Linked DNA regions of Nothobranchius furzeri. The protein of the gene in region 1 interacts with the protein of each later gene in a pairwise test. Links are inferred from orthologs where the notes say so. Each region holds a gene or a part of one and is shown in the gene's direction. Other genes may lie near its edges. The genes, in order: ube2d4, rnf25 and amfra.

Evidence for each region.
Region 2: the proteins of ube2d4 (region 1) and rnf25 interact in binary tests that used the Homo sapiens proteins (3 or more experiments, as listed by UniProt). The link is inferred for Nothobranchius furzeri from reciprocal best matches to the Homo sapiens genes UBE2D4 and RNF25.
Region 3: the proteins of ube2d4 (region 1) and amfra interact in a two-hybrid assay, tested with the Homo sapiens proteins (2 studies listed by BioGRID and IntAct). The link is inferred for Nothobranchius furzeri from reciprocal best matches to the Homo sapiens genes UBE2D4 and AMFR.

What each region holds. Positions count from the first base shown.
Region 1 is NC_091757.1:38,231,081-38,234,650, forward strand, and holds the start of ube2d4 (ubiquitin-conjugating enzyme E2 D4), read left to right. Parts: upstream 1-770; 5' UTR 771-1,037; coding exon 1,038-1,061; intron 1,062-3,570. UniProt on the Homo sapiens protein: Accepts ubiquitin from the E1 complex and catalyzes its covalent attachment to other proteins. In vitro able to promote polyubiquitination using all 7 ubiquitin Lys residues, but may prefer 'Lys-11' and 'Lys-48'-linked polyubiquitination.
Region 2 is NC_091745.1:17,479,773-17,483,372, reverse strand, and holds the start of rnf25 (E3 ubiquitin-protein ligase RNF25), read left to right. Parts: upstream 1-1,099; 5' UTR 1,100-1,276; coding exon 1,277-1,389; intron 1,390-1,603; coding exon 1,604-1,675; intron 1,676-2,123; coding exon 2,124-2,220; intron 2,221-2,545; coding exon 2,546-2,613; intron 2,614-2,703; coding exon 2,704-2,773; intron 2,774-2,852; coding exon 2,853-2,924; intron 2,925-3,056; coding exon 3,057-3,203; intron 3,204-3,270; coding exon 3,271-3,360; intron 3,361-3,431; coding exon 3,432-3,569; intron 3,570-3,600. Other genes in the region: anapc2 (anaphase-promoting complex subunit 2), read right to left, coding at 447-545. UniProt on the Homo sapiens protein: E3 ubiquitin-protein ligase that plays a key role in the RNF14-RNF25 translation quality control pathway, a pathway that takes place when a ribosome has stalled during translation, and which promotes ubiquitination and degradation of translation factors on stalled ribosomes.
Region 3 is NC_091749.1:54,390,887-54,399,215, forward strand, and holds the start of amfra (E3 ubiquitin-protein ligase AMFR), read left to right. Parts: upstream 1-3,653; 5' UTR 3,654-3,793; intron 3,794-4,258; 5' UTR 4,259-4,315; coding exon 4,316-4,573; intron 4,574-4,665; coding exon 4,666-4,758; intron 4,759-4,876; coding exon 4,877-5,041; intron 5,042-8,329. UniProt on the Homo sapiens protein: E3 ubiquitin-protein ligase that mediates the polyubiquitination of lysine and cysteine residues on target proteins, such as CD3D, CYP3A4, CFTR, INSIG1, SOAT2/ACAT2 and APOB for proteasomal degradation.

The sequences.
Region 1 (3,570 bases):
ATAGCGGTGTCAGATTCTGAGCAACTACAGCAATCAATTTCCCTCTGGGATTAATAACGTATTTTTGAACTGAATTTAATTAAAATTCAAATGCAGTGCAGAGTTTTTACCCGACAACAGCACAACACTGACAGTTTTAGGCAGAAAATTTAAATTTTAACTAAATTGCACTAAAGTGCAAAACTATTGACTGCATGTGTCTGCAGCATGATTAGACACGCATTTATATAGTTTATCAGGGAAAAAAAGGTTGATTTGGGGTGACTTGCTCTTTAACAACAGCCTCATCACTCCTACTAAATTTTGGCTTGCCATTGTTAAAACAAAATACAGAAAGACAAAATTGCGAAATTGCCCATCTGGATAAAGTGAATTTGATTGGGGTTAGAAAATAAGTAATCATTCATCTATCACCCACATGCAGTAAGTAGCTATTTTCATGTCACTAAAATGCATTAATGTTTTACTGAACTGAAGAGGGAATTGGGGGCCCAGTGTATCCCATATTTGTCAATCTTAGTATTTTTATACGCTTTTTCGATAAGCCTAAGCACTTTTGAAACCTGTACTTTTTACTTCTACCCAAGTATCATGCTTGAATTGATCCTTCAACTTCAACAGAAGTCTTTAAACCCCCTAGTATCTAAACTTGAGTAGTAAATATGTATATTTTTAAAGCCTCTGTTCTGTAGTCAATAAAATGACCCTTAAAATAGAAATCGTGACACTACCGACAGTGCCATTGTAGTTTTTAAACGAAAGCTCGCGATAGTAACTGTTTTCTCGGCACCGAGAAGAGAGAGGAATAGAAAGCTAAATATCTAAGTTGTTTTGTAGCTCTCTGACGAACCGAAAATTAATAGGTCGTGGGGAAATATTTGTCATAGAGCGAAAAAGCCGAAATTTACTGGATGTTAGACGTAATTTCATACCTGTAACTGAAGTGAGGTTTGATAGAACGCGGCTACAGAATCCAAATTGTATGTCTAAGGTGCTAACTGTTAGCTGACAGGCTACCTAGCATAGCCGCCGAAGCAATGGCGTTGAAAAGAATTCAGAAGGTGAGTGTTTATATTTATTAAGTTTAAGACATGATTCAGATTCGATTTTTCTTCCTCTTTTCGAACCGTTTTGATAAAGTACATGTGTGTGGTGTTTTAGAGGTGAACTAGCTACGCCGTTGAGCGTTTTGTTCATTTAAAAAATAATTCAAAGACAAAGGCGAGCTGACCAACGGTGGCCCGGTTTGTGCTTGGCTAACATTAACGTAACTACCCAATTAAGCTTTCATTTGGGTTATTACATCCTGCTCGTCTGACATTTTTCATATTAATCCTGAAACTTTGATAAGGACTCTGGAGTAAGAAGTTGTTACTGTTACTTCGTGGGAGGTTAGCTTTCCTGCTAACGGTTGTAACGTGTAGTCCTTGCCTGGATTTTGTTCTTGATCACTAATTTATCAGTCACATTTATCGTTTTAGTTTACCTTGTAAAATTATGTATGACGACGTATAAATTCGCTGAATGACAGCTGCTCGATTGTTGCCAAAACTGAACCCTAGAGTCAGTGTTGCCATATATGGAATGGCAAATGGGGCACTGGAACAGGCCATGGTGTGTATTTATATAATAGGCTTCCTTACATGAGATGTTAAATAACAGGCTTAATTTCTGTTCAAGCACCGTGTTTTGCTGTCTGTGCTTTTGTGTGTGATGCAAATGTAGATTGGTTACTTGGGCTGTGGACTGAGTTAATTTGATTTAGTTTCGTTTTTGTCCATTTTGTGTTGTATTTTTAATATTTGTAGTTATTATGTGTTTGCTAAACTAAACAGCTTGTCCTTATTTTCTGGAAGTATGTCTATAAAACAACATTTTGTGTTGCACAATGATGTCATGTCTGAAGTTGAATTTTATTTGTACTGAAGATAAAAGAGGAAAAGTGTTGCAAATAGGGCTGCACTGTGCATCGCAAATGTATCGTCATCACACTATCAGCATACACAATACTCATATTGCAAAGAACAGAAAAAAACTGCAATAAAGGATCATCTTAATTTTTTTCTACACATAATAAAGCATATTGTCAGTCAAACTGAAGCATTACGTTTTTGACTGATCAAATAGTCCTTCACCTGTTTGGCCAATTGGGTGAGTTCTTATAGGTTAGATACCGCCACCTAGGTAGACAGCACTTCATTTGGATGGCTAGCAAACACCAGAGTTAGCTGTGTTCTGCTCTTTCTGCCGACTATTCTTTTCCTGGGATCCCCTGAGTCTTTATTTTATTTTTATGATTTGGTTTTTGATACATTTTTTTTGTTCTTGAGTTACTATTTATGTATTGCAAGTCATATAATCATCGCAAAAATAATCACTGTAATTGTGCATCGTAGGTTTTCCTAATATTGTGCAGCCCTAGTGTTAAATACATTGTTTTGCAGGAACTTCAACCACAAGTTGTTGTAGGAATGTATAAATGAATATAAAACTTTGCAGCTCTGACAAATACCTCTCCATATCTTTAAACCGCAGATGTTACAGTGCTTGCTTTAACAGATATGTTCACATAAATGAACCCTGCTGTATGTTTATTGCAGCATTTAATTTGTAACTGTTACTTACACAAGCTGTTGTCTTTTTTTCCCTAATATATGAACTTGAGAAACTGAAAAGGCACATTTTGTAGTAAAAGCATGAAATTCTGCAAAAGTGTTTTAAAGAGCAAGTCAAAGAATGGTGATGTAGGACTTGGGAGTGCAGGCTGCTGCCTGAGGGGTGGTTGGAGACGGTGTCTCCATGCTGCTTTGTTTTGGTCACTTATGTGCGTGAGGCGAGTGGTGTTACGACCCTTCCTGGGGAGTTTGGCTCGTGTGCAAAAAGGAAGGGACAATAACACAGGATTTAAAAGTTAAAATGATGATCAGGTTTATTTACAACAACAACAAAAAACCATAAATCTTTCCATCCACAGGTTGGGAATAATAAAACTAATTCTGCCTGTGGGGAATTAAAACAAAAGTACAAATAACTAGGGATGTCCCGCAGGGCAAAGATTACTGGGTTCTGGACCAAAATAAGAATCTCCAAAGGTCCAAACTCTAAACTGGGTGGTTAAACCAAACTCAAGGTGAAATTTTAAACTAAACCGAAAACCCACGACACTCTAAATGTAATAAAAGGGAGATCTACGCCACAAAAAAGATGAACTCTAAACCAAATCGTAACAGCTTATCCTATCGCAAGAAGCTGTTAGCGAAAATGCTAACAGTAGCTTTACCAACATTAAGTTCAAGTTACCAAGTTTAAATAAACCAAAAATACCCAGCAGCAAACAGACCAGCATGGAGGAGAGACTGCTACCACAAAAACAGCTCTCCTAATGTCTGAAAGAAGCTCCTTTATGAAGGGAGAAACTCTCCCGGTGATTTTCTACATCTGCGGTAGACACGAAGCAGCGCATTTGATCCCAGAAGTTGTTGTCCGTTGCCGGGAGATGAAGGCGGGCAAAACAGGCAAAGAATCTAGTAGCAGACGGACATTGTTCCAGTTCTTCGGTATTTGGCGGAG
Region 2 (3,600 bases), on another chromosome or scaffold:
GTCTGGTATTCAGGGGCAGGTGGTTAATGTAGGAATGGATGAGAGATGGAATCAGAACTGAGTAAAAGAGCAAAATCATTTCCAACATAAAATACACATTTTATTATAATATAGGTGTTTAATATAAGCCTTTTTCGACATGTCATTTGTGTTTGTTTTTAACTAAATGGCTGACTCAAACTTATGAATATTGAGTTGTTAGTAGTCAACCCATTTTTCTTTGCATGGAGTAAAGTTGTCAGTAAACACGATGACGTCAACAAATGTAAGCCGAAATCCACCGAATACTCCTGCTGACTATTTATAACGCCAGTTTTGTGTCTAGCCCTTAATAAACCAATGTAAAATCCAAAACATCATTCAATCGTGTGATTTACGAATGGAGTCTTGTGACAGCACTTCATTCAGTGTTTGGTTGCTCGTGTCCGAGGCTCTGACCCACTCACCAAAGCTGCAGTCACGGATTCCCACGCCTCAGCGAGCCCCTGGAGCGCTCCGGGCTCAGACATTTCCACCGAATCCGATTCCATCATCATTTCCTCCATTTTATGACACTTTCTTCACAAATGCCGAACCGGCTCCTGTAGATTCAGCATTTAAACCTCAGCATGTCTTGTCTTACCGCGGCGCTATGTGTAAAAAGCATGCCCCGTGTCTCAACCGTGTTTCAACGAGTTTACTAAATAATAACTTTTCCATTCAAGCAAATAGTAATTTACAATACAGATATGAACATGGTATGGCGGGTTGACTTCTTCTACTTTTTTTTATCACTTACATGCTACAGGGGTGGACACTGCCCCCTGCAGGTACCGTCCGTAAAAAGTATTTGTTGAGTTTGAATCGGTTTTAATGTTTACTCGCCCCCTCTAGCGGTTAGAATAATCACTACAGCCGGCCACAGACACAAGTTGACAGAACTGAACTACAAAATAAAACATTTCAAAATTGCTTATACAAACTCCACCAGGTGTCAGTAAAGGCCAAATGTTATGAAACTGTACTTATTTTTGTATAAAATTTAAATAAAATCTTTCGAAACGGATGTTAATATCAATAAATATTTCGACATATCTTAGAGAGTAATATAGATGCTTAATGTCTGTGAAGGTTCTCAGTCATCCAGGTCATTGTAGTCTAAGGAGCTTTGAAAGAAAAGCGTCTGGACTTCTTTGAGTTGCTTGAAGACAAAGCTCCTTAGACCATAGATGCTTAATGCACACAAATACAGCTATAAATAATAAATAAATAAATAAACATTTTTAAAAACTGGATCATGACATGTCTTTTAAACGCCGTCGTGTCTCTTATTTTGACAGGTTGTGTGAAAACCGTATCCGCCTTAGCAGCAGCTAGCAGCAGAGACATCATCATGGCAACCGAGTACGAGTGAGTTTGTTGATATGGCAAAAATTCCTTCAAAATATTCATGACACGCTTTGAATTTTACCCGCACGCTCCCGCACATTAAGGTTTGCTGTTCTCGGTACAATCGGATGAAATGTCGTAGGTGTTGTAGCTAGCTGAAGGGGAAGCTAACAGGTTACGTCAAAAGGGCCAGGCTAAAAACAGTAAATAAGCCGAAAACCGTTTTTGTTTACAGTGTTCAGTCTGAGATCGAGGTTCTGCAGTCCATCTATCTGGACGAGCTGAAGGTGGACAGAAGGGACGAGGGGTAAATCTGCTCATTTCAGAACATCTTTGTGTTATAAATCACTGGTTGGGTTATATGTGAGCAAATAATGATATGAAGACGTTAAATATTTGCAACAAAGGGATAAGAATGTCTCCCAAATCTATTTGATGGGAAAAAACTCAGCTGATTATGTTATATATATGTATATATATTTTTTAACTCTTACCATGGGTTTAATTTAATGACAGTCAACCAGAATTAAATGCATCTGTATAAAAAATTATTAGCAATCAAAACAAACATAATAGTATCTATTTTTCCAGGAAATGACTGAGTGATGAATTGGAAAGTGCAGCCAGTGTATTCATTAAACTGAGTAGACAATAGTGGTTCTCATTTGGTCCTAAGCAGAAATGTCTAGAAACATATTTTAATTTGGTGGGGCTTTAACTACCTTCGTGTGTCTGCTGTTGTGTTTTTGCTACAGGAGCTGGGAGGTGAGTCTGGTTCTGTACCCATCCACGGCGGAGGACTCTGTGTCTCAGTTTGTCCGACTCACTCTGACTTTGACCCTCAATCAGCAGGTATGTCCGAGGTTACCTCATGTGTGTGCACAGACAACGGTTAGTGCAGACGTAGATCATACACATTTTTAATAATAAACCAAAAAATGTGATATTTGTTTTGGAAAACAAACTAAGCACATGTCTTGGCTTCAGAAGCTAGTGCCTCTCTAGGGGCAAACATAACCTTCGGTGTTTGTCTTGTATAATATTATTACACGACATTTTATGACTCGTGCCCTTTAGATTACAACAGGCTACAGCCTGCTCCAGACTAACAAAGTCATTATTTCATTGTTCTCTCTCTAACTGGATCTGACTCACTCTGCTGTCTCTGTTGGTTCAGTACCCCTCATCATCTCCTGTCATCTCCATCCGTAACCCCCGTGGGCTTTCTGACGATATACTCAGCAGGTAACACGATGTTTTATTCACAGCTTCATTCCAAAGAAACTGCCCACATTCTGCTTAAAATCTTTTACAAATCTGAGTTTTTCTGCTCAGCGTCCAAAAATGTCTTCAGCTGGAGGCTGAGTCGTGGCTCGGTTCACCAGTCTTATACCAGCTCATCGAGGTCAGAACATGAATCCACCTGTTATATAATACTCCGTGTTCTCTGTTCACTGATTTTCTTCACTGTTTTTCTCCTTCAGAAAGCAAAAGAGATCCTGACTGAAAGCAACATTCCTCATGGAAACTGCGTCATCTGCCTGTATGATTTTAAGGTAAGCTGTTTCCCATCTGCCCGCCTGTCATGACCATTTGCTCTGATCTGTGCTGTTCGTTTGGCGTCTGAACTTTAATCCAAAGATTTAACAGTCGGTTATAAACACTCTTCATGAATTGTGCTCCCTCAGGAGGGCGAGGCGTTCACCAAGACGAGCTGCTATCACTACTTCCACTCTCACTGTCTCGGCCGCTACGCCAGTCACTCTGAGAGGGAGCTCCGCCAGAGGAGGAGGGAGCTGGAGGAGGACAAGACCAGGGACAAAACCGACCATCAGGTCACAAATCGGCACACGCCAACCAAAGTCCAAGGTCTCCTGAGTCCTTACTCTGATTGTCTGACAGGAGCTGACTGTGCTGTGCCCGGTGTGCCGAGAGCCTCTCATGTATGACATCGATCAGCTGTTGTCATCTCCTGCACCACAGCTGCCTGAGGTAAAACTCTGATTTACAGACCTGACGTGCCCCTCATCAGTGACAGAAACCTAACAGGCTTCTCCTCTCAGCTCGACGAGGCAGCGGTCGGGTCAGACTTTCAGCAGAAGTGGCGTGAGCTCCAGAAGCTGTTGGAGAAACAAAGATCTAAAGGTGGGATCATCGACCCTGAGGTGGAGTCAAATCGCTTTTTGATTCATATCCACGAGGTAAGAATGAAGTCGGACTCAAAAGAATGTT
Region 3 (8,329 bases), on another chromosome or scaffold:
TGCTGCTCTTTCATCTCTTTGACTTTTTCATTTACCTTACGCTCTCTCTAGAGCTTGCTCTGAGAGATAGTTTTATGCCTAATTCTGACACATATAACTACAACCCAACAATTCCAATAATAAAACATAGCATACATTTTTAACTCTTGATTGCTCTGTGCAGCAAAAAGTCCATTTTACGGTTCCTAAGGAGGCGTTGAGTCCTGGTGCATTCTGCGGCGTAAGAATCTCCTACTCACAGTTTCTGAGGTGGTTAGAAGGGAAGGAAAGAGGCAATCCTGATGGTTCTGCATCAAGCTGTTTCCTAACTGTTGCTCGACAAGTCCTGCTGTGATGAGCTGTCGCTGGATATGTTTTCACTGTAGCTGCCCCTGGCACCATAAAAGAGGCTTGATGGGTGCATAAACTTTATTGTTTCTTTCTTTCTTGTTATTCACTTTAGACCGTGCACTTTGCACTGTCAAAACTGAAAATGACAATGTACAAAACACAATCATGTACAAAACAAATCGAGAGCAGCAATTCAAACACAAATCATCACCGCAATACAAATTAGGGATGTCCCGATACAATTTTTTCACTTCCGATATGATACCGATATTGCAACTTTCAGTACTGACCAATACCGATATGAATCCAATACGATATCAGCACAAAACATACATACTTTTACCTAATTTGGAGTGTGGAATGTATGAAAGGCTTGATCAAGTGATATTACTCAATCGAAGAACAAGAGCCCATACCAGTACGGATGAAAAAAAATTGTTTTTTTTTTAACCATTGGTTGCAAAAATGTGAATCTTAACATATCGAAGATTTTTGATGCAGTCTGATGTAATCCAATACACTGTTTTGGTGCCGATACCAAATTATTTCTGACATCGAAACGGGACATCCCTAATACAAATCATAATAGGTAATGAGTATAAATCACAAAAACAAGTGCATCTTGCTCTGCTGGCCAACGACGCTAATCAATCATAGCAGTTCCACATATGGCGGCCAATCTGCTGACTACAGGTAACAACTGAACGAACCAAGTCAGCAAGTCAGGTGCACAGCAAAGCAAATTTTCTGGGTAAATACTAATATGAGGGTGTATAATATGGGACTTTAAACATGTGATGTGTGTGTGTTCAAGTCTACAAATGTGGCTTGAATTGACCATTCTGCCGTCTCATCAGCTGCACTTTTTACCAAGATGTGCATAGGCAAGGGTCAGAGTTTGTGTGAAATTGTGCACATTTTCTGTGATGTTTTTGTTTTCTATGAATCACAAAGTCTTGTATAGAAAGTGCCTTAAGTGACTTTCTGTTTTGTTTGTAAATTAAACTTTATAAAAAAAGCCCCAACACCTTTGTAATTGGGTAGAACTTTACAGGGAGTGCAAAATGATTAGGCAAGTTGTATTTTTGAGGAATAATTTTATTATTGAACAACCACCATGTTCTCAATGAACCCAAAAAACTCATTAATAAAGCTGAATGTTTTTGGAAGTAGTTCTTAGTTTTTTTTTAGTTTTAGCTATTTTAGGGGGATATCTGTGTGTGTGCAGGTGACTATTACTGTGCATAATTATTAGGCAACTTAACAAAAAACAAATATATACCCATTTCAATTATTTATTTTTACCAGTGAAACCAATATAACATATCCACATTCCCAAATATACATTTCTGACATTCAAAAACAATACAAAAACAAATCAGCGACCAATATAGCCACCTTTCTTTGCAAGGACACTCAAAAGTCTACCATTCATGGATTCTGTCAGTGTTTTGATCTGTTCACCGTCAACACTGCATGCAGCAGCAACCACAGCCTCCCAGACACTGTTCAGAGAGGTGTACTGTTTTCCCTCCTTGTAAATCTCACATTTGATGATGGACCACAGGTTCTCAATGGGGTTCAGATCAGGTGAACAAGGAGGCCATGTCATCAGTTTTTCTTCTTTTATACCCTTTCTTGCCAGCCACACTTTGGAGTACTTGGACGCGTGTGATGGAGCGTTGTCCTGCATGAAAATCATGTTTTTCTTGAAGGATGTAGACTTCTTCCTGTACCACTGCTTGAAGAAGGTGTCTTCCAGAAACTGGCTGTAGGACTGGGAGTTGAGCTTGACTCCATCCTCAACCCGAAAAGGCCCCACAAGCTCATCTTTGATGATACCAGCCCAAACCAGTACTCCACCTCCACCTTGCTGGCGTCTGAGTCAGAATGGAGCTCTCTGCCCTTTACCAATCCAGCCACGGGCCCATCCATCTGGCCCATCAAGACTCACTCTCATTTCATCAGTCCATAAAACTTAGAACAATCAGTCTGGAGATATTTCTTGGCCCAGTCTTGACGTTTCAGCTTGTGTGTCTTGTTCAGTGGTGGTCGTCTTTCAGCCTTTCTTACCTTGGCCATGTCTCTGAGTTTCGCACACCTTGTGCTTTTGGGCACTCCAGTGATGTTGCAGCTCTGAAATATGGCCAAACTGGTGGCAAGTGTCATCTTGGCAGCTGCACGCTTGACTTTTCTCAGTTCACGGGCAGTTATTTTGCGCCTTGGTTTGTCCACACGCTTCTTGCGACCCTGTTGACTATTTAGAATGAAACGCTTGATTGTTCGATGATCACGCTTCAGAAGCATTGCAATTTTAAGACTGCTGCATCCCTCTGCAAGATATCTCACCATTTTTTACTTTTCTGAGCCTGCCAAGTCCTTCTTTTGACCCATTTTGCCAAAGGAAAGGAAGTAGCCTAATAATTACGCACACCTGATATAGGGTGTTGATATCATTAGACCACACCCCTTCTCATTACAGAGATGCACATCACCTAATATGCTAAATTGGTATTAGGCTTTCGGGCCTATACAGCTTGGAGTAAGACAACATGCATGAAGAGGATGATGTGGACAAAATACTCATTTGCCTAATAATTCAGCACTCCCTGTAAATTCGCGTCTGTGCTGCTATAATGTCATGAACTAGAACCTCTGAGGAATATTTCCACCTTGATGAACCTATGGCAAGAAGAATAAAGGCCCTTCGAAGGCAAAATAGAGACCAACCTGGTACAAGCAAGGCGCTTCTATAAAATGGGCAGTGGGTTTGTATTAGTTCAAGTCAGTTGTTTTTAATCACCTCCATGATACAGTTTCAGCATAGACAGAAGTGAAATATATTTCTCCACATATCATTTTGCTTGAATTAAAAATTAAAATAGCAATGAAATTAATAAAAATTCAATAACAGCAAGCATGGATTAGCCTAGAAGTCTAGACAGAGTGTAGCCGAAGCAAAACGATGTTGCACTGCATCTCTGCATATATATTCACATAAATAGGGCTTGCCAGGAAACTTTTTTGATTTTGCAGAAATGCAGAGTCTCAACATTAGTTTTTTCCTTTTAAACCAGCTGACATAAAAAAAAACTTAATGCAAAATAAATGATTAACCATAAACTGTCTTAAACACTAAGTGAAGATTCCGTACCTATTTCAATTTTCCTCGAGAAAAAAACCACAGCAGTTAAAACATTACGATATGTTGCAAATTGTAGCGGTGAATGAATGAATGAATGAATGAATGAATGACGGAGCTGGTAAGGTCGGGTTATTTTCCATTACTGTGACTTTAAATTTGTCCCGATGACGTCATATCTCGGCTAGTTGCCTGCTAACTGTCGGTGAGATAAACAACAACAATGTTGACGACTGCTGTGTTTTTCGTGTAGAACCCGTAAAGTCCAGCCCAGCTCAGAGCACACCACCCTGGATCTCGTGTTTACCTTTGTGGCTATCTGTAAGTGGCAACCCAACACAGGCCTATTAGGAGTTTATCAACAACGCGTAAGTACGTAGCTAACGTCAGCTAGCTTGAAAGCTAGCATTAGGCAACACTAGGGAAATAACTTAACACTTTTGGGCGTGAAATACTATTGTTTATTTTTTATTCTCCTTTGATACTGTTTGCAATTTCAGCCACCCAGTTATACATTTTATTACATTATTTTTAATTAAGCTGCGGTTTTACTTCACTAGCAATGGGATTGTCGATCCTCATCTGGAGGTTAGCCTAGCCATTTTCTCATTTTAGCCTTTCTTTTAGTTTTAAAAAGGTAAAGATAGTATAACACCCTCGAAATGGCCGCTTGTTGCATGTGTTTATCCCTAATTAAGTAACTGCGATCGCCAGCACAAGGGTGATTATATAGTGCTCACACCTTGCTCATTAAAGTTTGGCTAACCTTTGCTAACTCCCTCCCAGGCAGGTGGTGGAGTGACATAGTTTTTACAAGTCAGGAAGTGGACCGCAAGCACTGCAATGCCTCTGCTGTTTATGGAGAGGTTTCCATGGCCCAGCTTGCAGACCTACACAGCCCTGAGTGTGGCTTTGCTGGCTGGAAGCATCTTCAGTGCCTACACTACTGTCACTGACCCGGGCTTTGGGGCCTTGGAGACCGAGGATACACCAGCTCCATCCGAATTTAACCTTGAACATCATCTAAGTAGTGCAGTTAGCAACACAGACTTGGCAAGAACTGTCCTGTGGTATCTTGTTACTGACAGTCTCTTTGTATGGGTGAGCATCCTTCCCATTACGAGTTTTCACAGGTGATATAATATTCCTCATGCAATAAACTAATAATCATGCCACTCTCCACATTCTTGCAGGTCTTGGTCAACACATTCTGCTGTTCTTTAATGTTAATTGCTAAAATGATCCAGTATGTGGTGTTTGGGCCACTCAGAGTCATTGAAAAGCAGGTGAATCTGTTTGTTTTGCTCAAATATCTGGAATAAATATATTTTCTAAAATGTACAACTTACTTAGTGCTTATTGTCAGAAAAAAGCATCTTATTTTGCTTTTTATTTTTCTCCCAGCATCTCAAGGATAAATTCTGGAATTTCATCTTTTACAAGTTCATTTTCATATTTGGAGTATTGAACGTGCAAACTGTGGAGGAGGTGGTCATGTGGTGCTTGTGGTTCTCTGCCCTCGTTTTTCTACATCTCATGGTACAGCTCTGCAAAGATCGTTTTGAATATGTAAGTATGTTTTATCACACCATCTCTTTTCACTGCATCCACCTCCCCATACATGTTTCAGGGTCATCAAGGGCTGAATTATACAGGTTTGCAAGTTATTAGCTCCAATTGAGAATTAAGTAAAACTGGTTAATTTGAGAATACCAACATTTTGGTTGCATGGGACTGCATTGTTTTTGTATGTTTCAGTGGTTTTCAATCATTTACACACCACCACATGCAGCTTGTTATCACTTTAAATGTATAGAAAATTAAAAATCAAAAATCTAAATGTGTTTTTAAATATTTTCTAGCAGAAGGAGTTCAGTCTATTCAATAAAATACCTAAATACCGCAATTTAAAACCTTCTCCTTTGTTTTGCACACAGGATATGTCTTGTTTCATTAAGATTTAAATTGTAAAAAAGTAAAAATACATGATTTTTGAGTAAATCCAACTAACAAACCTCTTTGCACCCTGAAAGTCCTTCAGAAGTCTGAGTGCAGATGTACTTATTCCAGCTCCAGCTCTATAAATAGCTCCATATTCTGACATGTTTGCCTGCTGGTAGAGTTTCAGTTGCTACATTAACACTCTCCTGTCTCACAAGATGAGAAAAACAAAATATCAAATTGAATTACCATCATGCAAGCTGTGACATTTAAGAAAAACTCCTAAACATAATGTAGCTATAATGTAACAGTGACTAGTTATTTTTTTCTACCTGTTTTGTGTAAATATTTTATATTACACACACTTTCTCTTCATATAAAACAATGAGATGGTCTTTGTCTTTATAAACTCAAGCACGTCGGTTATGTTCAACCCAGCTGTTTTCCTGTTTCCATCCGTCTGCAGGTTTGTGCCTTTGGGGGTATATGGCACATTCAGCAGCTCTAGATAAAAGATTTGGCGTGTGTTTTGGGTAATTTGGTGAGATTGTGTGGTACATATGACACCCATGTCATGTCTTGTAGCTCAGCTGTTGTAATTATCATAAGTAGTTCCTAAATAATTTATTTTGTGGGCTGTACATGATATTAGGGGAAACCTTTGAAGGATTATTATTATATTTGAGTTTTTGGATCGTATGCATGTCGTACAACTTGCTTTTCTTACTTTTAGCAACTGAACCACCTTTAGTTTTCTCCTGTTTTTAATAGGACAGTTAACTGCTTTGAACCTAGAGTTGAAAGTTGTCCCCAACTCTGTGGAAAAAAACATTGTTTTTTCTTGTACAGTTGAACACCAGAGGTGTTCAGAAGGGTGTGCAGACTTTCCCCCACATGTGCTGTTTACACACATATGTCACAGTGGGAGGTTTTCTGCTGGAGGGATGCGTTTACAGCATGAAGCACGAAGGAGGAGGTGCAGCAAAGTGTCATTTGTCAGGAGTGCAAAGGACATTGGTGTATGTCACCCTGGAATGTTTCTACAGACGTGTCTGAGTAAAAAACATTTACAATGTGCTTATATAGTGCATATTGTGTATTTTTAATTGTTTTGCAAACAAGGTTGAGTTTTACAGCATGTTTCAAAATGCACAACAAAAAGCAAAAGAGGGAAGTCAGTCATTTATACTGAAAACAGAAGCTTCAGACTTTCAGGTGCTTCTTGATTCTATTTGTTTCTGTTTTCTGTCAAACCCATCAACATACATACAATATATACATATTGTCAAACCTTCAGCTTTTATCTAAGCCAATGCTTTATTTTTAATGTTTATCTTTAACAAAGTGCTTTGACAGCACACATGAGGTGGAACATATACTAGAGTTTTTATTTGTGATTTATCCACACATTTTATGTTGAATCCTGTGAGACTTTTCAGGTTTCCCCAGAAATCCTGATCTTATAGGCCCATTTCTTAATGTGCTGACATCATCTTTCCCACAATGCTTCATTACAAAGAGACCTACAGAACATTCTAGAAAACCAAACTGGATCATGAGTAGAAAACAATCATGAAGATACAGACTTGCTATGCATGTGTGGTTTGGTTTAACCAAAAGTTAGATTAATAAGTTCATCTGTTCAAAAAAAAAAGTCAGGAATTAAAGGAGCAATATGTAAGAATTCTGCAAAGAAATAACAAAACAGTCTTATGCCTCACTCTTGTTGGAAGGAAGGTTTCCATTGAAGCAGAACCTGTGAGGTTTCCAAGTCTGTGCCAGTCTAACCCTGTAGCATTCACATTTGTAATTTGGCACCAGAGTTATTTATAAAACTAAAGCCAGTAAACAGCAGCAACCCAGAAGTTCTTTCTTGTACCCCTAAGAAGTCATGGCATCTTTTTGTTTTACTCCCAACATCAGATGAATCAGGCTAGAGGCTAATGGTGAGCTAACAATGCTAATGGTGAATTAGAAACAAATACGGTAGTTGGGTCTAAAAATATCTCAAGCTACTTTTTCAATTACCATCAACTCCATATTACAGGTGCTGGCCAGTAAATTAGAATATCATCAAAAGGTTGAAAATATTTCAGTAATTCCATTCAAAACGTGAAACTTGTACATTATATTCATGCAATGCACACAGACCAATGTATTTCCGATGTTTATTACGTTTAATTTTGATATTTATAGGTGACAACCAATGAAAACATCAAATCTGGTATCTCAGAAAATTAGAATATTCTAAAGGCCAATGAAAAAATGTTTGTTTCTCTAATGTTGGCCAACTGAAAAGAATGAACATGAAAAGAATGTGCATGTATAGCACTCAATACTTAGTCGGGGCTCCTTTTGCCTCAATAACTGCAGTAATGCGGTGTGGCATGGACTCGATCAGTCTGTGGCACTGCTCAGGTGTTATGAGAGCCCAGGTTGCTCTGATAGTCGTCTTCAGATCCTCTGCATTGTTGGGTCTAGCGTATTGCATCCTCCGCTTCACAATACCCCATAGATTTTCTATGGGGTTAAGGTCAGGCGAGTTTGCTGGCCAATCAAGGACAGGGATACCATGGTCCTTGAACCAGGTGCTGGTGGTTTTGGCACTGTGTGCAGGTGCCAAGTCCTGTTGAAAGGTGAAGTCTGCATCCCCATAAAGTTGGTCAGCAGCAGGAAGCATGAAGTGCTCTAAAACTTCCTGGTAGACGGCTGCATTGACCCTGGACCTCAGGAAACAGAGTGGGCCAACACCGGCAGATGACATGGCACCCCACACCATCACTGACGGTGGAAACTTTACACTGGACCTCATGCAACGTGGATTCTGTGCTTCTCCGCTCTTCCTCCAGACTCTGGGTCCTTGATTTCCAAAGGAAATGCAGAACTTGCTTTCATCAGAAAACATAACTTTGGACC